2 linked regions of the Schizosaccharomyces pombe genome follow. The gene in region 2 interacts genetically with the main gene of each other region. Each region holds a gene or a part of one and is shown on either strand. Other genes may lie near its edges.

Region 1 (3,596 bases), 1.6 Mb from region 2:
ATTCTTTTTTACATCTTTTGTGCTGCTGAATTAGATCCTACAACACGCGTGTAACCGGGTTTGTTTAAAGTTCTGCGGCGGGGTGGAGCCTTGAACGATTCGATTGATAAGCAAAACTTACCTGCAGTAGTAAAGAAAGGCAATTAATATAAAAACTTACAACTCTAGAATAAAAAGGTGATAACCTTGAATTATTAAATTCGCACGAACAATAAAATATTGAAACTCAAACGAGGATAGACGGAATCGTGGGATAGTTTATGGTTGCGGTATTATCGAAAGATGTCTTTCTGATCATCATCAGTGCCGATACATACATACATCACACGTGTCGAAAAATCGAGTAATAGTGAGTGGTCTTTAACAAATAGCAAAAGAGCATTAAATAATAACTCCCAAGAATATAGGGCGAAAGCGATTTGTAAGAGAGAACATCCGTAGAAATATCGTTTTGTTCAGTTAGCTATAAACGACACATTACTAAATCGAATGGTTGAGATACAGAAAATGGATGTTTTTTACATTAAGCATCTCAATTAGGTGACGGATTACGCGAAAATACATTCCTAAGACTTCTACTTTAAAAGAGAAATAATTGAATATTCATTCTATGGTATAAACAATCAACTAGCGAAACGTGCATTACTTGGCCAAGCAATGCAATGCATGGGCGTAAACAAAAAAAGCCAGTTGGTGATTCAACTCAAAATTGTGCAATCATTTGCACTGTTTCAATAGATACTATTCGCAAAGTCTTACTTGCGGAAAACAGTCTTGAAGAAAGTCTCACCTTGAATTCGTGCAATTTCTAGTTCATCATCGGATACATTACGAGAACCGTCGGCTCCAGCATAGGAACCAGCGCCCCAGCTGGAGCCGCCATGAATGGACTCAACGTTAGCCATGAGTGAAAATGTATTCTTATAGCCAAGAGGTACAAAAATCATTCCATGATGAACAAAGCTGGTCATGGCAGTAAGAGCAGTGCTTTCTTGACCACCGCCCAAGGTACCGGTGGAAAAGAACTGACCAAAGTACTTTCCATGCAAAGCACCTTGCACCCATAAACCACCAGTGGAGTCCCAAAAAGTACGGAACTGAGCAGGAGGAGTGCCGTAGCGTGTAGGATAACCGAAGAGGAAGGCATCATACTGCGTTAAGACATCGAGTGTAACAACAGGGTAATTGGGTTTGGGTGCAGCATGCATCTTCTCCAAGATTTCAGGACTCAATGTCTCGGGGAACTGATAAATGACAGCTTTTCCACCAGCTTTCTCAATGCCAGCCTTTTCGGCCTCAGCCAGTTTGACGACATGGCCATAAGTGGAATAAATCACAATAGCGACGGTGTTTGCGGTAGACATACTGGGTTTAATAAAACGCTGGAGTAATAAAATAACGAAATCGAAGCACGACAGTGAAGAATGAAGCTGTGATTGAATTTCTTTGGAACGTTTAAAAATATAGGGAATTTTACGTCCTTATATAGATTTTTTGAAAGCCTCCGATGTGTTTTTTTTTATTTCCTGTTTTTTTGGGACCAGCGGTTGATTACCAAGATTACGTAAACTACCTTTGGTTCATCCTAGGATTGTGAAAATTGAACCATTTCTGACTAATCCTATTCAAACAATGATTCTATTATTATTTTATTTCTTTCTCTCTCATTCATGCTCACTTTAGATCAAACAAACCGATTTTGTGCTTGAAATACTTTCATTCCACAGGTGTTGGCATTTGTTATTACCTGTCCCATTTTCTGTAAACTGAGGTTACATACTTTGGCTCGCTTGATGAGTTTTTGGTGTTGACCTTTTGTATCGCTATTTTCATCTTTGCTTTATCGATGTAGCTGCGCCACTGTTGGCCTAAGTGGGGGACTTTGGGTTTCTCTATAGCTTTCCTACTAACTTAGTACTGGGAAAATAACATGGTTACGGTCACCTCTAATTTAACACAACCCAATGGAAAACATCGGTAAATCGATAAAACGTACGCTATTTTAAGTGCAAAATGCATTGATGGTCAGCCAGTCCATCATCATCCTTGGAAAGTTTTTGTGTATGCAAGGAATTGGTCAGCACTGAAAACAAAAGAAAACGGTTATAGAATGAAGTGTTAAACCTCTTCCCTTTCTCATCATAGTATCAATTTTAAATCAATCAATTTCATATATTCATATGTAAAACATCATACAGGATAATATTCTTGAGAAATTTGTAGGTGCTAAAAGACAATAGCAAATAAATCGCATAATCAAAACAGAGCGATTTCTCAAGAATGATTAAAAAAGAAATAATAATTAAAAGTAAAAAACCAAATAAAAAGATGAACGAGTTGTAATAAACTAAGCAAATAAATTAACTAATTAAATAAATAATTAATTAATTAAATAAGCAATAAAAAAAAACCCCAGGAAAATAAAACACAATGATATTATACAATGCGTTTAGGATCACGTCTTAATACAATAAAATTCGATTCTTAAAAAAAAAAAAAAAAATTTCAATGGATTATTAATGTTTATTGCAAAATCTTTAATAGGAAGATTATAGCAATTCAATCGATGTTCAATACAAAACTGAATACGGCTTGCGTTTGAAGATTGTATAAATTTCCGATATTTAATTATTTATGCAGTTTAAAGCTCGCATTCTCTTTCGAGTTGACACTGGCAATTTCATTATTTAACCTTTTCAACCCTAACTGAATATGATATTCTTTCCAATTTAAAGCTATTTTATTTATAACCAATTTTCAAAAAATAAATAAATAAATAACTAAAGTCAATTCACTAGCCCGCTTAGTGCACCTCTCAAGTTGAACAAAGAATAAGAAAAATAGTACTTGCCATTTAGTAATAATAAGTTGGCATAGACGAGACAACGTAGTAATTGTTGAAGGAATAAGGAACTTTTAGGTTTTTAGATGACGGTTCTACAGGAACGAAAAACTTTCTACCATGTTCATTAGACCATCGCCTTAAGAAATGGGGAAGTGAACAAATGAAGGACCGATTATGAGTAGCAAGCTGAAGTATATCTGAAACTAGATATAAAGGTGTGGGAAACACATATTTGACGGTCTCATTTTGAAACACGTGCCCAATGTTAGAAGACATTTTTTTTGTAGAAAAATCATTTTCCATACTTAAAACAGACGGTGCATTGATTCCAGGCAAGGATTTGTCAACGTGACACACGTCCATCAAAAGCAGACTGTGGTGCGGAAACTGTTTTGACAATCGTTCAAAAAATCTAATGGCTTTCGTAGGATAGTATGTGAGTTTTTGCGTGCTAAAAAAGGACCAAAATACTTGTTTAACACCGGAAAAGTACCGTTTAGCCCTGCTGTCGCTAAACCCTTGCTGAACATTAATCCTAGCTTGTTGAAATGCTAAATGGTAATTCAAAGAGCTAACTTTTTGGTGAGTATTTAGAGTGAAGAATTCGTTTAAAAAGTGCTCTGGACCAAGCCAGCACCGTTCCATCATCATGGCGCCGTTACTCTGACGAAATAAATCATGACCGAAGGAGCTAATTACCTGTAATGCCAATACAAAGCAAGGATTTGTATCAGTATGGTTCCACGTTAAT
Region 2 (3,624 bases):
TAAAAACATTCCTTCCCCGAGTGGTGTAATCCCTGCTTACAAGAGTGCTTTAAACGTGGCAGCCGAAACTTACTTTTCTTTTCTGGCAAGCGTTAACTCCTTTCAAGAATTGGACCAAGAATGGAGTAGACTCGAAAAGTTGGGATTTGAATACGATGACTCTTTACAAAACAAGCGAATTATTTGGCTGTTATATGACGACCGGCTTGATGCAGCTATCAAAAGAGTATATAATATATTTTTGTCTTCAAAGAGAATTGAGGAACTAATACCAGATGCATCTAGTCAAAATAGCATAATATCTTTCTTTTTATCTCCTGATTCTCCGTTATACTTTAGCACCCTGAAAGCATTGAGAGATAAGTTAGATATGGCGGTTGAAGACGACTTTGTGCGAATTAGTCAAGGTATTCTTGTTCCAACTGTAAAATACCTTCAAACCATAAGACGGGACAACGAAATATTATTTAATTTATTAGCCAAGGTCTAATATTTCAATTGTGAACTCAGCCGTCTCGCCGTATGCTGCCTTTGTCAAAAAATTGGACTTGTAAACTTAGCTCTGGGTGTTTTATTCCAAAGAGATAAAGATTACTGAATTTTAATTTCCAAAATCGTCAACTAGTTCTAATGGTTGAGTACGGATATCATTTAATAAATCTAATTATTCTTTAGTATCATACAAAATAGTCACTGGACCATTATTCACGAGCTGGACATTCATCATTGCCCCAAAAACACTATACATGGGTTAAATAGAGAATCTTAGTTATGATGATGATGCTTACCCCTCTAAAATCATAGTTAGTAAATTAAAACTCAAAATAAAGTACATTGGTTAAATGCAGACTGAGTTCACTGCTACTTACTCTTTATCTTGTCGCTTCCGAGGCTTTCTCCTAATGTTTTAACAACTTGTTCATACAATTCGATGGCTTCAGGACCCTTCATGCTTCTGTGAAAATCAGGTTTGGCACCTTTGTTAACACGAGCATGAAGAGTGAATTGGGATACTAATTATGTTAAAGAGGAGGCTCAATATTTATGATATTATCAAAAAAAGATGCTTACCGCAAAGGATTTCTCCTTGTATATCGGCAATCGTGCTCTTCCAGGGTTGTTCGGCATTGTCGAAAAGTTTCAATTTCAAAATCTTGTTTGACAGTTTCGTAACATCTTCGGGTGTGTCATCTGTTTTTTATTAGAGAAAGGGTTACAACGGACAACTTGAAGACAAGCCAAAAACGAGTTATTAATCATTCGAAGAAATTGCTTGCACGATTGATTTTTAAATATGCTCACCTGAACCTACTCCCAAAAGTATACAGTAACTGGGCGGATTAGAAGTCAACGAATTACGGGTTACAATTGTTGTCTTACCCTTGTTGAATGGCAGAAACAATTTTGTCATCAACTATAAACTCGTATTAGTAAATAAGTTCATAAACATTGAGTTTATTAATAATTTATTTTCTTATTACCGATTATAAAATCCGTCCAAACTTAGTATATATTGATTAATACTTACCAGAAACAGAAGCATTTAAAACTCGCTGAATTACTGCCTTCATGTTTTCTACTGTTCAAAAAAAAAAAAGGTAACGAAGGATGGACAGAACCGAAGACTATTAATAATAACAACAATAATATATACTACGACAACAAAACTGCAGAAGTAGTTTTAATAGTAGTAAAGCAAAAAATTCTATATAGCAGGTAGTGTGTTTGGTAAAGGGTATATTATACTGTTATCAAATAGAAAATTTATGGCATATAATAATTGAGTCGGCGATCTTAGATAAAAAGGAAAATACAGCTACGTTATGCGGTAAAAAGTCATGGCTGACTCCGGGATGAATATGAAATATACTCAAAAATAAGCGATTCATGGAAAAATTGTTAAAAGTTAATGTTTTCAACCGCCATGTAGATTTTGTCATTTGTTTAAATTATATACACTGGTCTAATTTACTATTTAAAATACTTAGTACATGCGCAACTTAATGTAAAGCAAGCATACGGAATAGTACGGGAAAGGGTATCGGGTAGGAAATGGTGATTGTGAGCCGATGTATCCCAAAACTAGAACTAAAGGGTATCCGAAGCGTAAAAAGTTCCACGGCCTCAAAATCCCATATAAACTTACATTCTACACTTACTTAACCCAGACTAAAAAAATTAAAAAAAGAAAACATGGGAGAGGAAGAAAACTTACACAAGTGAAACGAGTAAACTGAAATAGTAAAAGCCATTTATTTCGCAAAACTTGAATTGCTGAATCTAATAGGTATAATCCGTACCATCGGAATCAACTTAAAAGATTGAGCAATGTACAGCAAATTTATGTGTATATATGTGCGCATATGGCTGCATGAATAGTTTAGAAACAACATGCGCAAAGAAAGCACATAGCAAAGAGGAAAAGGTATAAAGACTTGAAAAAACAGCATGTTATGCTAGTCAAATCATTACAAACAAAATCAAAGAAAACATAACGCAAACACTTCAGTGGCATAGTCGATCACACAATAATATCCAAAGTGATATAATGGAAAGCAATTAAATACGAAAAAAAAAATCCTTAAATACAAAGATGGAGATTTTTTAAAATTAAGACTACCCAAACCAACTTATGGAAACTAATGAGTGATTTGAAAAGAAAAAGACTGGAATACAAAACAGCAAAATAATGAACGATCGATTGTTAGATCAACAATTCGGCTTTATTGTCGAATAATTAAACATCAATAATCCAATTTCAAACAAATAGCCCAGCAACACTCATTCACTCACTCAAATCATCATCATCATCATCATCATCGACACCGTCATGTCGCTAAAAGGTGAATTTTTCAACATACAAAAATAAAAGACGGAAATCAAACATATGCCCAATGCTTCCAGGTAAACCCTAGTGGAACAGTTTGCCAAAAGACTTTTTCATACGTTTGAACCAAGACTTCTTGGGAGCTGCTTCACCATCAGTGGCGGTTTGTGCCTTTCCATCAGCCGTCTCATTCTCAGCTGTCGCAGTGGCACCAGCAGCAGGAGCTGGCTTGGTAGTGCCGGCAGCATGTTCCTCAGTAGCAGAAACAGGAGTAGGTTTGGTGGTGGCAGAACCAGGAGTAGGTTTGGTGGTGGCAGAACCAGGAGAAGGTATGGTGGTAGCAGAACCAGAACCAGCAGCATGTTTAGACTCGACGGTATCAGCAGAAGTCGGGATAGGAGCAGCAGCTTCAATAGCGGACTTCTTTCCTCCTGGTACAGCAGCCGACGTAGTACCGGGACTGGAGGGAGCAGATGCTTGTTTTGAAGGTCTACGTGCATGCTTGGAGGACTGGGCTGATTTGGCAGGCGTGGAAGGAGTCGTTGGCTCTTGTCCAGTAGAAGAGGGTTTCCTGGCAACCTTATGTTTCTCGGCGGACGCCTTGTCATGTTTTGACACCCTTTTGGAAGCAGTGGTGGTTTCCTTGGAGAAATCATGAGCAGTCTCGGTAGGGGCAGTGACAGCTTCTTGCACTGGGTGTTCTGCAGTGGTACCTCCAACGGCCACTGGGTTTTCAGACTCGGTGGGAATGGTCGAGGGGACATTTACCTCGTTCTTGACAGTGGAAGAGACACCCT

Evidence for each region.
Region 1: mutations in dtd1 (region 2) and obr1 together harm fitness more than expected from each alone (negative genetic interaction), as found in Schizosaccharomyces pombe (one large-scale study listed by BioGRID).

What each region holds. Positions count from the first base shown.
Region 1 is NC_003424.3:2,093,528-2,097,123, forward strand, and holds obr1 (NAD(P)H dehydrogenase (quinone)), read right to left. Parts: upstream 1,458-3,596; 5' UTR 1,365-1,457; coding exon 756-1,364; 3' UTR 583-755; downstream 1-582. Other genes in the region: SPOM_SPAC25A8.03C (uncharacterized protein), read right to left, coding at 2,855-3,596. UniProt on the Schizosaccharomyces pombe protein: Unknown. Target of pap1 transcription factor. Confers brefeldin A resistance in S.pombe.
Region 2 is NC_003424.3:3,647,506-3,651,129, reverse strand, and holds dtd1 (D-Tyr-tRNA deacylase), read right to left. Parts: upstream 1,738-3,624; 5' UTR 1,572-1,737; coding exon 1,529-1,571; exon of another isoform or gene 1,415-1,528; coding exon 1,381-1,414; exon of another isoform or gene 1,332-1,380; coding exon 1,303-1,331; exon of another isoform or gene 1,192-1,302; coding exon 1,072-1,191; exon of another isoform or gene 1,014-1,071; coding exon 870-1,013; exon of another isoform or gene 793-869; coding exon 789-792; exon of another isoform or gene 741-788; coding exon 665-740; 3' UTR 501-664; downstream 1-500. Other genes in the region: translation regulator Ppr4, read left to right, coding at 1-490; SPOM_SPAC8C9.04 (uncharacterized protein), read right to left, coding at 2,912-3,624. UniProt on the Schizosaccharomyces pombe protein: An aminoacyl-tRNA editing enzyme that deacylates mischarged D-aminoacyl-tRNAs. Also deacylates mischarged glycyl-tRNA(Ala), protecting cells against glycine mischarging by AlaRS.